Rattus norvegicus: one gene and its partners. The protein of the gene in region 3 interacts with the protein of the main gene of each other region in a pairwise test. Links are inferred from orthologs where the notes say so. Each region holds a gene or a part of one and is shown on either strand. Other genes may lie near its edges. The genes, in order: Pllp, Mall and Ms4a12.

The links.
Region 1: the proteins of Ms4a12 (region 3) and Pllp interact in binary tests that used the Homo sapiens proteins (3 or more experiments, as listed by UniProt). The two-hybrid records come from large-scale screens. The link is inferred for Rattus norvegicus from reciprocal best matches to the Homo sapiens genes MS4A12 and PLLP.
Region 2: the proteins of Ms4a12 (region 3) and Mall interact in binary tests that used the Homo sapiens proteins (3 or more experiments, as listed by UniProt). The two-hybrid records come from large-scale screens. The link is inferred for Rattus norvegicus from reciprocal best matches to the Homo sapiens genes MS4A12 and MALL.

What each region holds. Positions count from the first base shown.
Region 1 is NC_086037.1:10,318,766-10,324,911, reverse strand, and holds the start of Pllp (plasmolipin), read right to left. Parts: upstream 3,833-6,146; 5' UTR 3,618-3,832; coding exon 3,483-3,617; intron 1-3,482. UniProt on the Homo sapiens protein: Main component of the myelin sheath that plays an important role in myelin membrane biogenesis and myelination. Plays an essential function in apical endocytosis. Regulates epithelial development through the regulation of apical endocytosis.
Region 2 is NC_086021.1:135,400,421-135,406,488, forward strand, and holds the start of Mall (MAL-like protein), read right to left. Parts: upstream 3,647-6,068; 5' UTR 3,617-3,646; coding exon 3,506-3,616; intron 1-3,505.
Region 3 is NC_086019.1:217,308,090-217,313,509, forward strand, and holds part of Ms4a12 (membrane-spanning 4-domains subfamily A member 12), read right to left. Parts: intron 5,408-5,420; exon of another isoform or gene 3,289-5,407; coding exon 3,151-3,288; intron 2,625-3,150; coding exon 2,568-2,624; intron 666-2,567; coding exon 549-665; intron 1-548. UniProt on the Homo sapiens protein: May be involved in signal transduction as a component of a multimeric receptor complex.

The DNA of each region.
Region 1 (6,146 bases), on a different chromosome or scaffold from region 3:
GGCCTTTCGCTTGCTAGGCAAGCGCTCTACCACTGAGCTAAATCCCCAACCCCTAGACCCCTCTTCTAAAACCCCAATCATCTAGACAGACTCGTAAGAGCTCACCTCTTCCAGGAAGCCCTCCCCAGGGCCTTTCGCTTGCTAGGCAAGCGCTCTACCACTGAGCTAAATCCCCAACCCCTAGACCCCTCTTCTAAAACCCCAATCATCTAGACAGACTCGTAAGAGCTCACCTCTTCCAGGAAGCCCTCCCCAAAAGTCTTGGCTGAGTCTCCCCTTCCGGAAGAGGTCATCCTTCTCTTGCAAGGTCATCTAGGAACCCCAGAACCTCATTTAAAGGCAGCAGGAGACATTGATGGAGTCAGTCGTCAAACAGCCAGCTCTAAGTGCAAGTCCTACCCATGGGCAGTAGCTTTGCTGTCTTCCCTCCAACCCCGTCCTGTGACTCTATTCAAGTCCCTTTGTGCTTATCAGTAAGTCCCAGGTAAGATCATCCCTTGTCCCAAAGCTGGGGAGGGGACATGTGTTAAAAAGTAGCAAAAATATGAGCCCGGCAGTACTTGTGAACACCTTCAATCCCAGCACTTGGAACACACAGGCAGGAGGATTTCTGTGAGTTGGAGGCCAGCCTGGTCTGTGGAGCAAGTTTCAGGACAGGTAGGGCTACACTGAGAAATCCTGTCTCAAAAAACAAAAACAAAATAAGAAAGGAAAGACAAATATGAGCACTTCACCCCCACACTCTTCAAAGTTTTTCTAAACTCATTGGGATGCACCTCAGGTGCCTGTCAGCACCTTCCTCTCCCTTGCCTCACAAAGAACTGTAACATAAAGCAAAAAGTTGTCTCCAGGTCAAATTCACCTGCCTGTTTAGACAATAGCTGCGAAGACTCGCTTTCGTTACTAGGAAGCTCAGCTGGGAGCCAACATTTTAAACTTGCAGGTTTCCTGCTAGATTAGGTCTTTTCTTAGCTTTCTCAAGCCAGGCTTTAGAAACACACTAACTTCTGTTTTAATGATTAACAGCACCCTCTGATATTCTTTCTGGAGCTAGATGGGTGTGGGCAAAGTTATGGAGTAGTAAAAAGACCATCAGGTGTCTGTAGATGTCAGGTTCTGCAGGCGAACCACCATGCTAAACGAAGAACTATGTTTTGCTCCGGAAGCTTGGGCTTGCTATTCATCCATCTTTCTACCACTGCAGGACTCTCTATACCCTAGGAGACAGAGCCAGTGGCCTCAGTTTACCGCCTCCTCCAGGCAGCCTTTCCTGATCCCCAGGGGCCTGGCACTAGGCATGGAGCCTCTCTCACTTCCTCTAAAGTGTCACACCCCACACTGTAAGAGCAAACCAATATGAGTAGGGGCCGGAGAGGTCAGAAAACAGCTCTCCAGGATGGGAGTGATTAGAAAGAAACTTCTGAGCCTGTTTTCTCATCTGCTAAGAGAAGAAAATTCTAGTCAAATCTGGCCATGCTGGTGCATGCCTTTGATCCCAAAACTCTTAATTCAAAGCCAGCCTGGTCTATAAAGTGAGTTCCAAGACAGCCAAAACTATGTGGAGAGACCCAGTCTTTCAAACAAACAAACAAACAAAAAACAAAAACAAAAAACAAAAAACACCTAGCCAGCCTCCAGTTGTGGCTTTCCAGCAGGTATGGTGCCTATCTTGGCCCCTCCCCACTCTTGGCCCCAGTGGAGTAGGTTGCCACAGAAACATCTTAGGAACCAGCGGCTGGCATAGTCTCCAAGTGAGGTCTGTAGAACGAATATAGGGACGGAGGTAGGGAGTAAAGGGCACCTATCACTTCACACCCTGACATCTTCATGCTCCAAAACCTCCCAAGGCCACCAACATAACCAAGACCCCAGTTCTGGCCCTAGATGCATAAAATGCTGGGCTCCTGGCCAGACCAGAAAGATGCTTCATCTCCTGCTCAGCCTGTGGCCTTCTTTCCCTACCTCACTCAACTCAGCCGTCTGCTGTCCCCACAGCATTGCCCGCACTACCCCAGCCTCGCATTCCACTGAAGGCCCAGCTCAAAAGCTAGCCTTTCTAGCCCCTCAGTGAAGCCCTCCTAGACCTTTCTCCTCTCTGTCCCTTTCACAAACCATTTAGCTCCGCCCACAGCCCAAAGCTGACTCTCGGGTGTGAGGTTCAAAGAAACCAGCTGCAGACCCTGGAGTAGTGGTGCCGGGTGGCGCCCGAGAGTAATTACAACACTTGGGAAAATCTAGTCCAAGGCTAGCCTCGCCTACATAAGGAATTTGAAGCCAGCAATAGCTAAGTGAGAATTCAAGACCAATCTGGGCTATATGCGACCCAGTCTCAAGAAAATAAAAAAATACAGAAACGAATTGAATAAAACAAAATAAATAAAACAAACAAGCCAATCGCCAAGAGCCCAACACTCCAGGGTCGACTGTGTCTACGCTGCAGAGTTAAATTGGTCCCAGAAGAGGGCATCGAGCTATCTTCCCTGATCTCATCAAAACCAAACAGTAGCCCAAAACCACTCCGGAAGAAGACATTAAAATGCAAATTTCTTGGTGCGCTATTGAAGATTTAAAGTGCGGTTTCACATTTTTCCCTGGGGTGGGGCCCAAGAATCAGAATCTTAAACAAACCCAGGGAGAAGACGGCGCGGGGTTGGGGGTGAGGGCGAAGGGCGAAGGCTCACTAAGGAAGATCAGAAATCTCGAAACCAAGATAGCATGCCCTAGGTGGACATGGCCACTCCCCTGGAGGGCAGGAAAGACCTAGTCTCACTGCAGGTCTCCCGACTCCCTAGCTTGGCCTGGCACCCTGGCTCCATGTGCCCATTGGAGGGATGACAGAGACGGCCACCTCCAGTGCTACCCTATTCCTCTGCCAGTGGATCTCAGTTAATGCAGAGGGCTCCCCAGAGGCAGCCACAGGCCTCCAGACCCTTCCAGGAAGATACTATAAAAAAGATAGCTGACATCTTAGGATGCACCTAGTGGGGCCTGATGAGTACCGGGGACGGCAGGCACGTGGTTTCTGGCCTTTGCCAATCTCCACAGCCCAAGGAAGGAGATTTGGTCCACGGACCCCGGGCAGGTACCATGGAGGGAGCGCGCGAGTCAGGGCCACCGATGTGGTGTCCTGCCCTGTCCAGGAGGGCTGCAGAGCCAAAGCACTTAGTGGCTAAAGCCGGGTGAAGAGGCAGACAGTGGACTTTGCCCGGCGGAGAAAGCCAGAGCACGGTCCTAGAGGGAAGGGGGCAGGGCAGAAGGAAAGGGACAGACTGGCGGACTGTAGTGAGCTGCAATCTCAGCTGCGGCGTCGCCGCGGGAACCACCCGAGTAGGGTGTGTAGGTCCCCTCCATAGGAGTCATGCTGTGCTCGCAGGGCTGTCACACGACCGTCCCAGGGTGCAAGGTTCCAGACGATCTCGGAAGTGTGCGTCCCGGGGGTCCCCGGAGAGTTCCCCATCCAGTCCCCGAGCTACCCCGCTCACCAGCTGCAGAAGCGCGAGCACCCCAAGGGCGGAGCGCACAAAGCCCAGGTCCGGTCGCATCGCAGACACAGATGCTCCCACGCCCTGCGCGGGGCTGCTGGTCCTGGTGCTCACTTTCGACGGGAACTCCGCCATAGCGATCGCGAGCCTACGACGCTCGGGACGCGCTCCCGGCGCTGCTCCGGGGCTGCGACAGCGGATCCCTAGACAGAACCTACAGGTGCGCGAAGCCCGACCCCGCTCCGCCCGAGGCCCCGCCCCTCGAAGAGGCCCCGCCCCTTAACCCTCGGTTCGCCTGTTTGCTCTGGATAGAGATCGTGAAGAACCCCTAGTGTGCTGGTGTTTGGGCAGGTCTCTGTGAATAAGCGTCCTTGGGAGTTCTACCCGCCTCGGGGTACGCAGTGTAGGAGAGTGGAGTGGAGTCATTTCCTGGACTGCAGGCGGGTTCCTTTCTAAACAGATAACGAAAAACGGGCAAGTGCAGGAGAGGGGACGACTGAAAATCCAAGGCTAGCCTGCTTATATAATGAATTCCAGGATTGTTTGGGCTACAGGGTGAGACACCTACAGAGTGTCTCAAAACTAACTAACTAACTAGCTAACACTACCTAAGTCGGGCAGAGAAGCATGTGACTGTAAACCCCGCCAGAGGCCAGGAGAATGAATTCAGATTATCTTGAGCTACATAGGGAATTCCAGGTTAGCCAGGGGCACATGAGACCTTGTCTACACGACAAACAAAACAAAATGAAACAAAAACTAGTCTAGTGGTACACGCTAATCCCAGATATTAGGGAGCTAAAAATACGAAATGGTTTGGGGACCAGGAATGGAGCTACTCGGTAGCGGTAGCGGGCTTTTCTGGTGTAGTTGTGCAAACGCAAGTCCCTGGAACCAACCAGCACGGCAGGTAGCAACTGACAATCTAGAACCTGGAGAGGGCTGAACAGTGGCTCCTTCTCTGTCCTAGAGGGTGTACAGGTATCCACTTTGAAGAACTATTTGAGAACACTCAAAGTCTTGTGCAGAGAGGCTTGACTTTGGGATGAGGGGTGATACTGGATTTCACTGCTGTGTGTGCCCTGAAAATCTTTTCCCCTGCACAGACATGAGGAGTCACGTGCATAGACCTTTGTGCAAAAGCAAACTGGGGAGGAAAAGGGTTTATTTGGTTTTTGCTTCCACATCATTGTTCATCCCTGAAGGAAGTCAGGACCGGAACTCAAGCAGGGCAGAGACCTGGTGGCAGGAGCCGATGCAGGGCTGCTTACTGGCTTGCTCAGCCTGCTCTCTTGTAGAACCCAGGACCACTAGTTCAGGGGTGGCACCGCCCACAATGGGTGGGGCCCTCCCCCATCAATCACTAAGAAAATGCTCTGCAGGCTTGCCTTCGCCAATCTTACGGGGGGGGGGGGGCATTTTCTCAAGCCAACTTCCCTCCTCTTGGATTGTATCAAGCTGACACAAAATCAACCAGCACATTAGTCAAGGAAGACCTATCAGAAGGGATGACACCTGTGCAGAAGCCCGAATTTGTGAGTAGGAGGAAACCTTGGGAGGACGTAAGCAAGGGGCGGAGTCTGTGCAAAGGCCCTGTAGCAGGACCAACCTAGGGAGATGGAGAAATAGAAAGCAGGTCCCCAGTGGGACTGAGCACATGAGGGTGACACTGGCCCCCAGTGAGAAGGGACCAAGTCACAGAGGCTATGCAGACTACTGTACTATCCTGTGGCTTCTGGTGACAACTTACCACATGCTCCAGGCCTTAAAGTAACAAAAGTTTCCTCTCAGTGATGGAGGCTAGATACGCAGAAGCAGCATCATGGAGACACAGCCGTGATGTCCTGAGGCCAGGCAACCTCTGGAGTTATTTTTTTTCTCACATTTTGTTTTAAGACCGGATTGCTCTGTCACCCAACTGACTTCATGCTTTTGACATTTCCGTGTAGGTCAGGTCTTTACACGCTGGGATTACAGGTGACCAGCCATCAGTGGATTCTGGTACCCTATCTAGCCCTGTCTATGTATCGTCAGTCAGCTCTCCTCTTCCTATGCACAAGATCTACACTCCCACCCCATCTCTTTTGTAAGGATGTGGTCATGACGATATTGCCTACGAGATAATACAGTTCAGTATCCTCAAATCAGGAACTTGAAATATTTATTCAGTCAGCCAGTCACTAACAATCTGCAAAGATTCCTTTTTCTTCTTTTCTTCTTCTTTATTATTATTATTTTTTTTAGTATAGAATAGAGTTTGTTAGGTCATGGGGAGGGGATGTAAGAGGGTAGTGGGGGCAGAGAGAGAGAGAGAGAGAGAGAGAGAGAGAGAGAGAGAAGGAAGAAGTAGAAGAGGAGTAGAGAGGCCGCCCATGAGCACACGGAGAGAGATGGGGGAAGGGAATGGGGAGAGAAGGCACAAAGTGGGGAGAGGGTAAGAGGAAGAGAGCAAGAGTCTTCTTTTTAAAGACAAAGTCTCATGTAACCCAGGCCAGCCCTGAACTTCTGATGTGTCTGATGATGGATTTTTGCCCTGCTTCTGCCTCTCAAGTGCTGAGATTATAAATACCAGTTCACACTGTGCCAAGGACTGAGCCCCGAGTCTTGAACACGATAAACAAATACACTAGCACCGGGCCAAATGCCCAAGGCTCTATGTCCAGC
Region 2 (6,068 bases), on a different chromosome or scaffold from region 3:
GCTAGATTACGGTGAGTCCTTACCAAGGGCTCACTCAGCAATAAAAAGGAGCAAACTGGGGGTTCAGACAACTCAGATGGACACCAAGATTCACGCTTCACAGGACGAGTGGGTACCTAAAGGTCGTGTACTGTTCAGTTACATTTCTGTACATAACTTTCTTGAACTAAAATCATTATCGTGATTTTTTTCTAATAGACTGTTTGGAATAGCAAGGGAGTGGGATGGGTTGGGGAAGTCTAGAGAGTAGCAAAAAGGGGGCTTTGGTGTTATGGGACAGTCCTGAACCTCAGTTGCTCTCAGACAAATCTACTCTAAACATGAGATCTGTCTTCCCAACCTCAGTTTCCTGGGTTGAAAATAATGCTAGTTAGATGCGGGGACTACAAGTTCCTGTGAGAACAACCACTACCACAGAGTAAAATGTTTTAATGTGAATTTTAATGCTGAGGAGTGGGAGATAAAGCATTGTAGGCAAAGGTCAAAGGTCACTAGAGTAGGCTAGGGGGAGCCTGAGTAACCTTTGCTGTCATCTTCAAGAACCACGAAGAGCTAGAGGCTGTACTTCCTCTGCAGTCAAAGAGGCCCATGATTAGGGAGAGCTTGTCCGCTTTGATCTGACAATGAATCTGCCCACTCTTGGTTCTATGTGAACACACACACACACGCACACACACACACACACACACACACACACACACACACACACACACACACACAGTGGTTAGGAGAGGTCACTGTAGACACCATGTGCTGATATCACCCCGAGCTACCCCATGAGGAATCACTGTGCCCTAGCTCTAGGGTTCTGCTTTCTGTGCTCTGCAGAGGTGTCCTGGCCTCCGTGCTTTCTAATGTGTTCTATATAGACTTTTGTCTCACACCAGAAGACTTAGGGATCAGGGGTGCCTGGAGGCTTGGTGCTTTCACACTGCCCCAGTAGACAGCAGAGCGAGAATACATCAGATCACTAGAGCCAAAAGAAGGGCTTTGGACAAACTCATCCCGCACACATAACATCTTCCCAGCTTCTTCTGCCCATGACATCAAAATCTTTTCCCCCACCTTCTCATTTCCTTCCCCATCCTCCAAACAGGCACACATCATTCTGGAGTCCTTCTAGGCATGCTCAGAGCAGGTACAAGCAGCATGTGCAGAATTATGTACTCAACACAAGCACACACTCAGATACAGACATACACACTCACACTCACATACTCACACATACATGCACACACATACACTCATACATTGCACACACACTCAGATACAGACACGCACTCATACACATACACACATAAATACATGCACACACACATATACACACACTCACGCATACATGCACACATATACACACACTCATACACACTCAAATACAGACATGCACTCACACACATACACACATATTCATGCACACACTCACACATACAGACACTCACACATATGCACACATATACACATTCACACACACTCAGACACACACTCACACAGACTCACACACCCCTTCACATACACACACATACACATGCACACATGCACACATATACACACTCACATATGTGCACTCACATACACTCAGATTCAGACACACTCACAGACTCACACACCCCTTCACACACACACATACACACAGCACACTCACATATGTGCACTCACACACACTCAGATTCAGACACACACTCACACACACAGATTGAAATATCCCTTCACATGCACACACACGTACACACAGAGATCGTGCATGTGCTCCATCTGTGAACACATTTCTGTGTTTTCTAAGTTTTCATCAATGAATGAAGATGGATTGCAAATTAAAGCGACAGGGACAGTGAGCGAGCGTAGAAGTCTAACTACGACCAGGGTCCGCAATAGCCGACCGACCGTGCTTTCTCTAGAAGACGGAGACGAAGGCGGAGGAACCTCCCGGGATTAAGGGGAAGGACAGCCAAGCACAATCAGGAGCTTTGACCTGGATCCTGGGCTGGGGGGAGGATATTAGTGGGGAAATGAGCAAGTAGGACAACAATGGTCAATGGCGGAGTGCTCGTGTTAACTTCCTGGCTTGGAGAGACCTGGGGGTTCAGAGTGAGGAACAGACTTCCTGTGCGGCCACTATGGCTTTAGGAGAAATCTAAAACTATTTAAAAGTAAGTCAAGAAAATCAAATCAATGACAATGACCTCATCCCCTCGAAGTCCCAGGACACCAGGAAAGTACTTTTCCAGGAATCCAACTGCAGGAGGAGAGGTGGGGACACCTGTCAGCGCCTCTAGTGACAGTTCTCTACCTGACTGCTTTCCTGCCTCCGGCATCCAGTGTTCTTCCAGTGGCAACTCCCAGTGACAGGACTGGACCCTCACTCATCTGGCTGGGACACCATGCTGCATTCTAACTGCTCAGAAAATGCTCCCAAGCCTCTCTCTGTCCACAGAGACCCCTGGCAGGTAGCCACTCCGCTGACCATGATTTTCGTGACTGACAAGCATTCTCTCAATAGAATTCAGCAGAGCCATCCTGCCATCCATGTGGCTGTTCCAAAGTGAGGCCCACACCCAGGGCCTGGCACACAGAGCTCAGGACGTGATCAGCCTGGCAGGATGCCCACATTTGTGGGGGGTTGGCGCTGGAAGAAACCTGCCTCTTAGGTGGAGTTTCTATCAAGGCCACCTACCTGTGGAACCCATAAGCCTGACTTCCCTTTCTTGATCGACAAGAATGGCTGTTGGTTAAGCAATTTGCCTAAAGGTCACTCAAGGGGACCTAACCTTCCACGGAAGACCAGGAGAAGGGAAAGGGTTGGTCACACCCATTTTATGTAAGCAGTCCTACTCCAAGTCTCCCTCCCAATCCAGAGGCAGCATGGTCAAATTCAGGGCTAAGAAGAAAATTTCACCCACAAACTAGATATTACGGGAGGCTTGGCGGGGAGTGGGGGAGGTGGATGAGAGCAGGAACCAGCCGAGGGACCTGTTTTGTTTTCTACTGAATGCACTGCTCAGTGCAGGCATGGACTAGCGCCCAGTTCTGCTGTGTGGTGTCCCAGAGTCGGGCAGCAACAAGTTTTCCAGAGTAACCTGGGCGGTTCAGATTGTTTTATGGATGATGCTGTCAGGAGCTCCCTCTGGCAGGGAGTACACATAAATCAAAGTTCAAAGTCAGCTGATGTGATTTGAGAAAATGCTGGGAGACCTTCTTTCAGAAGGCCCTTAGAGAGTCCCCTAGTTCTTTGAACTTTAGGAAACAGCAAGGGGGAAAGAAACCAGGTAATAGAATTTTCTTAGGGGTCTGGGTAGTCTAGAAGGTGGCTGGACTCCTCCAGCAAGCGAGTGGCCTGGGGATGGCTCTTCAAGCTTTGGGAAAGAGGAAAATTCGCTCTATTGGAACCTAGTCTGGGACACGGGAAAAGCAGGAGCCTGTAGCTAGCTGCCTTTCCCCATCCCAGTTACAGAGAGGTTCCCGGTGGTTCCGCCCCTCCCTCCCCGCAGGTGGGGGCAGCCACACTCACCAGCTCCGGTAGGAAGAAGGCATAGGGGATGGTGAGGAACAAGGCGGCGACCCCCGAGGGCACTTCAGGCGGGGCGTAGCTGGTGGCCGGCGGTGTGTCCCGGGAGGCCATGCTGTCACCTATGCTGGCGTCCTTACTCCGCGGCACTCGCCCGCGCCCGCAGCTGTGCAAGAATCACCTCCCGCCCGCCAGACACACCCATCGGCCAGAGGGACGTCGTCGCCTGGGAGGGGAAAAGAAAGGTTCCAGTGGATCAGGTCCTTCTGTGTACTGTGGCTAGGCAAGAGAGGGGACAGACCAGCCTTGCAGAGGCTCTTTCTATCTAGACCTCCCTGCTAAGGAACTTTTGAATGCTGGAGCAAATGACTCCAGATGATATGAGTGACAGTGTGTGAATGGAACAGCTTTGTATGCCCCTGATGATCTCTGTGCTCAGAGTGTAAGCAAGGGCTCTTTTTGCTAAGATAAAGACCATTTTATTGAGGATCTACTGTATGGTTAGCCACCTACACACACATCTGGAGCTCAGACAGACCACCACGTGTCTATGTTGTACCTTTCCAAGAAAGGAGACTAGAAAGAGGTGCAGTTAGGATCACAGAGCGGTCACAGCAGCATCCGCCTTGTCCTCAAATTCTAATGGAAGGATTGGAGCAGCCTGGTTTCCACCTCCCCTCCTCAGGGACTCTGAATTCCTCTTGGTTCCTCCTCTTGATGTCTTCTTAGTCAGTTAGGACACAGGATTGGAGCCAGGCAGTTCCTTCCTGAGTAGAGCCTGGGGCTGGCTGCACACACACACACACACACACACACACACACACACACACACACACACACACACACACGTCAGGTCTGGAGACTGGGTCACTTTCTTCTTTACCAACCCACTAACCTTCATTTTTTTTCCACCACCCTGAGGAAAAAGTCTGGCGCCCCAGAGTCGTCTTCCTTCCCTCTTTGGCTCCAGAAGGCTAGTTGGAAAGCCTCCTCAGGAGGAGAGGAGGCATGGAAGAGTTGCCCCAAGGACTGGGGGATGTCCTGCACAAGAGCCCTGTGTCTTGTTTCTTAGCAACAGCAGGGAACTCCTGGGCAAGCTTGGAGAAGTAGCCTGTTAGCCCCACCTGGTCTGGAGCGGCCAGCAGAGTTTGGATACACGAAGCAAAGCTTAAAGCCAAGGCATTGCAGGGAAAAGCAAAGGTCTCCTCAGCAAGCTTCGAGCCAGCCTCAATCTTTTCCAAGTTCTAGAGCTTATAGTTCATATGCTTCAGTCCCCACGCTGCTGGCATCCGAAGCCATCCACCTTTTGTGAATGCCATACATAAGCATTATGCATTCTTTGGGGCTCTGACCCCCTTTGACGTGACCGTAATCTACATGGGGCATCAGGAACAGCAGAGTAAGAAGTACACACAGGTTCCAAGGATTCGACTCCGGTCATCAGGCTTGAGGGACAGTCAATGCCTCTACCTGACAAGCCATCTCACTGGCCTGGAAAGCATGAATTCTGAGTAGACTGTGAGGTTAACCATGCCCATTGAATCCTAGAGCAGCTTGTAAACAAATTCCAGGGACACGAAGGCACACAGCATCCCCGGTGCTCTCTTCGATGCTAGCCTCAGTCCTGATTCACCGAGATCCTGTCACAAAGGAATATGTCAGAGCACGCTAGAGCACACATCTGTATATATACATATTCACATACTGTCGACTCACAGTGTGCTGTACACACACACACACACACACACACACACACACACACACACACACACACACACAAGTTCCAGCAAAGGAAAATTCTACCAGTAGGGAGCTGTGGGTAGTCAAAATGAAGGAATAGTGACATGGATGGTAAGTATGTGGGCAAAGTATTACCATGGTCCAGAGCAAACAGTGTACTCGTATTTGGTGATAATTTTAGTTTGTATGTATTTAATACAGTGACCTCCACACGGGGCAAGAGAGAGGTAAAGGGACCATATGACGATAAGGTTTCTGTAGTCTCTCTGAAGTGGATTTTTTTTACATATTTTAATTTCACCTACTGTTAGTGTGTGTGTGTGTGTGTGTGTGTGTGTGTGTGTGTGTGTGTATGTTCATGGAGGTTTGCCATTTTACAACAGTTTATCTCTCTAAAATTTACCTCAATTCTTGTTTGTATTATGTTTCCCTGTTGAAATGGTTTGTTTTCCATTGAAATAGATTTACTCTTACTTCTTTTTTTTTTTTTTAAGGATTTTATTTTATATGAGTACACAGTAGTGGTCTTCAGACACACCAGAAGAGGGCATCAGATTCCATTACAGATGGTTGTGAGCCACCATGTGGTTGCTGGGAATTGAACTCAGGACCTCTGGAAGAGCAGTCAGTGCTCTTAACCACTGAGCCATCTCTCCAGCGCTTGCCCTTACTTCTTGGAACATGGTTATGAGAGTTGCGTTAATGCCTTAGTTCTAATAATTATGTAGTCTTGGACTTATTAGCTCTTGGTTGTCTTTTTGTCTTTTTCTCTTACAGATGTTGATTGTGGATTGTCTCGTGGACATTAGGAATCTTATGTCACGGG
Region 3 (5,420 bases):
GCTAGGCAAGTGCTCTACCACTGAGCTAAATCCCCAACCCAACTTTCTTTTTTTTTATAACAGCAGTGAGACTGTTCCCGAGAAAAAAAAATCATTTATATTCCATTATTCCTAAGTAGTTTATTTGCTGAAAGAAAAAGTCTTCTGCTATTTAAAAAATCAAAAGACATTTGTATCTCTCCTAAATAAGCATTTGATGACAATAGAGAAATAATCAGGGGGTGATTGCACACGCAGACAGTCTTCCTGTTTTCATGGTAAAAAAGCCACGTAAGACATGGCTATTGTATTTATGCAGAATTTCAAATGCAGAAAAAAGAAATTCTTCTCTGTATCTATTGAGCCTGTGATGGTGATGGGGTGGTTGTTCTGACTTCATCTATCTGCAAATATAATTTTTCACTTTGTATTAACAATCACATCCCTAGGAGTAGGGTTAGAAATGGAACTTTCTCAACAGAACCACTGTTTAATGAATAGGAGACAGCAATGGATATACTCTAGTAGTGAAAAAGGAACCGTCATGTGGCCAATGGAAGGACACTTACCACCATCCAGTAGTCTTGATAATAGTGGCCATTATTGTTCAGATCACACAGAAACAGAACCACTCCAACAAAGGCAGAAATGATGCTAAAAATGTTTATTATCAGGGTACTCTTCACCTAATAGAGGTAACAAGAACAGTAATCCATGCAAAAGGCAAATGAATGTAAAGGGAGTGGGAGTCTTTCCAAGTTAATGTTTCTTAATTGTTGGCATCTTGTTTTAGTTTTGACTGTACTGAGGATTGAACTCAAGGTTTGATGCATCCTAGGCAAGTCCTTTACCACCGACCTATATCCTTACCATGAAACAATATTCGAAATTGATATAACATCTTTCTTCTGCCCTTCTGAATAGTTGTGAAAATTACACTGTATTCCAGCTATCAGTCCCCACCCCCCAAGAAGCTGTAAATATTTTAAGTAACAGAAATATGAGACAATATAAATGTAATTTGAAGTAGAATGCCGTCCAACACATTTATGTAATGGCATTTGTTTACAATAACATCTCCATGACATAACTGGAAAATGTGTAGGGAGTGAAAGACTTGGGAGCACTCATTTCTGCATGGAACATCTTCATCAACCTCTTAAGGCTCAGGGTCTATGGGGAAGATCTTGTTATCCACCCTTCTCTCTCTCAAGACAGAAAGAACACAAAGTTGGGTGGGTAGGGAGGTTGGGAAGATCTGGGAGGAGTTGGCAGAATGAAGAGAAAATATTCAAAATATATTTTATGAAAACTGTAAAGAACTGAAAAAAAACTCTACTTTAAAAAAAACAAACTTAAGGGCTTTTTTTAAAAATTGATTTAATTTTATTTTTTATCTGGGTGTTTTGCCTGCATGCATATCTTTGTAGCATGAGCATGCTGTGCTCACGGAAGCCAGGAGAGAGATCGAATCCTCTCCCCTATGAATTATACAGAATACAAGTCACTGTGTGAGTGCTGGGAATGAAACCCTGGTCCTCTAGAAGAGAACTTAAGTCTGCTCTTAACTAATGATCTACAGCTGCAAGAACAAACTTTTAATTGGCATTCTGTGATAGATATTTTGTTAAATATTTAAAATGATGTAATTTTTAACTCTTACAGCCACTACACATGGGATGGTCCTAGTATCTGACTTTATACATTCCTATCTAGTTGTACAATCCCAAGAGGTAGAGTCTCTTTCTACACAGCCTGTGAGGGATGTGACCTATATAGAGAAGGATGCTCTGTTTTGTTTTGGATTACAATAGATGCAACTAATCAGACTAGGCTGATTTTAATTCTAGCATAACTCACTGTTTTATCTTGAGAGCATGAAAAATATGATTCCATGTTCCTATCTCCCTCCTTTGTTCTTGTGCATGATCTCATATAATATTGAGACCATTTCTGGTCTAGGTTTATGCAAAAGATATCTTTCTCCTGGTTTGCTACTAAAGTAGGAAATTATAACATGGGGCATGCTGAGGCTGGGAGAACCGAAGTCCAGTCTCTGTGGTCATTTCTATGTGCTCTTCCTTTCCTCTGAACTGGTTGCTCTCGTGGCGATTTAAAGAACTGACAACAGAGACAGTCTGAGTAACAATAGGAGTTACACACCAGTGAAAAGTGAAAATACAAGATGGAGCTGAGGAATGGCAGTGAACACCAGAACTTTGTTGTTCAAGTGGCTTATAGGTGGTTGGTTTTGGCTCCTAGATTCTTCCTTGGTTTTCCCTGAATGCCATGTGACCCAACAGAACCAGTGTGCCAGCACGTGAAAGCTTAAATAACACTTGCCTTTACTGATTCCCTCTCTTGTGCTTTCAAGAGCATGAATATGGTGCTCTGCCTTTCCCAGTAGCAAACTGAGTGCTCTGTTCCCCTGCTCCAGCACAGGCACTGCCCAGCGGCTGGCAGATATTTTGAGAAAGAACTTCTTTTCATCCATACTCTTCTAATCTATCATCTCAGGTTTTCCTTGAAAGTAAATCAAACCAATCTTTAAAGGAATTTGAGAAATTGAAATAAGTTTTCTAACTTACCAGACAGTCAGAGAACTTCTTGAATGCTGATACGGAGAGTGAGCCAGAAACAATGAACTGTAGACATAGAGAAATCCGTGAATCGTAGGTTCTCTGCTTGCACCTGGGAATGTCTCTTTGTACTAGAGATTGGTCCAGTTATGTTTGTTTGCTTGTTTCCCTCACACACAGCATACTTTTTTTCTTTAGATTAACTCTTGGGGATACACTCTAATTCCCCACCCTCATTTTCTTGCATGTAAAGGACTTGATAACAGATGACTCGACTGTGCATGACAGCCTCCTACTCAACTTCATCTCATTCTCAGTCTCATCTTGTGAACGCTCTACCTTCCACATGTTTTGGATCATCCCCTTTCAAGACCCTCCATCCTATACCTTGGCTTTGTATTAGGAATGAGTTTAAGCTGCAGTAGAGTTAAGTCTGAAGTGGGGAGTGGCAGCCCCCCCTTTCTGATCAATCAGAGCTGTTATTTCTAAAAACTCTCTAGCCATTAGACACAGAACTTTCCAAGAACTTGCTTTGAACAGGCTGGGGACACCTACTCCTGCACAGGGAGAGTTGTCCTAGCAATCTACTCACAAAGACTCCACCCCAAAATGGATATCCACCAATAAAAGCAGTAGAGTAAAATGCCCAAGTCATAGAGTAAGAGGTGCTCAGTAACCCAAGAACAACTCCGAAGCCAATGTGCATCAATCCAATTGTGATTTGCACTCCCTGAAAAAGAAACCAGAGAGACATTTTAAAATAACCTTTTTATTAGTAGCCTGTGAAATGTTACAACCAAAGTCATTCCTTTTTATTCACTGTCCATGTAACCAGGATCCATGAGAATTCACCTAAACAGTTAATATTTTGATGTATACTGAAACATCAGGGGAGGAAGGGCTTCAGGTAAAACCTTTGTTTGAGGGGCCAGTGAGCTGGTTCAGTGGGTAAGGACATTTGTTGTCTTGTCTGATGACCAATGTGTGATACTCAGACCCCGTGTAGTGGAGAGAACTGAGTCTTTCAAATTACCCTCTGACCTCTATGTATATGTGCATGCATGCACACCCGCACTTGTACACATACACGCACGTATGTAATAAACGTTTTTAATAAATTTTGTTTGATTTCTGCATGACCTACAAAGAGGTCTTTAGGAAGTGTGACTACTTAAGTACCTCCTAGTATCCTTGATGAGTATATTTGTTCATAGACTGCTGTGACCTGAGTGACAGCGACTGTCTTGTATAAGTAAAGCAGTTCTCTGTCCAGGCAATGCTAGTCATGAGAAAAGGAATCAGTAGAAACCAAGTCACTCCTAGAATATTAAGCACATGCCGGATAACACTTTAAACATCCTGCACGTATTATTTCAACATGTCACTGTGCCAACAACTACATGGAGACACAAAGCCATAAGAAATCAAGTGCCCAAGGCACGCCCAGAATGCATGACCCGGGACTGACTCCAAAACTCATTTACAACCTGTCCTTTCTGGCTCAGCTTGGTTCCATCCATTCTGAGTTGCTCTGACTGTTATACTTGTCAAATGGATTTGCTTTTTCCTCTGTGAATTCCTCTCACATTTTAAGATGTAAAATCCATGGCATTACTTGCTTTTATATCTCATATTTTTTTTTATTTCAAAAACTATTATTTTATTTTCTGCACCTGGGTATTTTGCCTATATGAATGTCTGTGCATCACAAGTGTGCCTGGTGGTGTTCAAGGATGTCCAAAGGGGTTTGGGGTCAGATACCCTGAAACTGAAGTTACAAGCAATTATGAGACACCATGTGGGTGCTGAGAATGGTAATGTCCTCTGCAAGAGCAGTGAATGCTCTCAACCACAACACGGTCTCTCCAGTCCTTGTGTTGCTTGCTTTTTTTAAATGCTGGTATACAACCGTTCTCATACCAAGTAAGAGATATTTTACCAGTGCTAAGGGATAAATCTTTTACTTTGTAACTCTTATCACAACTTTCGTTGTAGAGTACACATGAATTTCTGAGAAGCAACAGTTGCTATATTGGTCCAAAGCTCAGAAACATATCCATAGTTCATTTTGTCCCAAGTTTATGATTATATCTTATTTATCCAGGAAGACTGTAGTCACAGAAACTTCTGTGTTTATTTCCTCAGTGGATAGGTACCACGTAAAATTAAATTGAATTAAAGGAAAAATAACAATTTCATAAATACTCTAAAACAATAATGTATTGTTGAAATACACTGAACCTTGTAAAAGCAACCTTGGGGGTGGAGTGTTTATTTTTGGCTCACAATCTCAGTTTATAGTCCATCACTGTAGAGAAGTCAAGGCAGAAACTTCCAAGAACTATTCATATCACATGAGATAGGGGTGTATGCCAACCTACTCACTTACTCATGCTCAGCTTGATTTATCCACTCTCATACTGCCCAGAACTCCCTGCCTAGGGAATGGTGTTACCCATGGTGGGTTGGATCCCCCCATATCAATTAACTTAATTAAGATAATCCCTCAAAGGGAAACATGATGCAGACAGTCCTTCATTGAGTCTCTCTTCTCAGGCGATTCTAGGTTGTGCCAGATTGACAATTAAAACTGACCATTCCAGTGACTTCGAGTGGAGGGGACAGATATTTTACCCTAACCAGCCGTGGTCCCTGGAGTATTGTGACAACTAGGGGTGTAGCTTCACAATCTTCATAGAAAGGACCCAGAATGGTCTAATCATGTTTTTTTAAAGCAGAACATTATATTTTCTTTAAATATATTTTGATTGTTTATGTCTTTTCTATAAGGCAGAATGCTCCAATTGGATCCTGTTCCATACAGTAAAATCCAAAGCTGTCTACTCCAGGTATGCTTTCCTC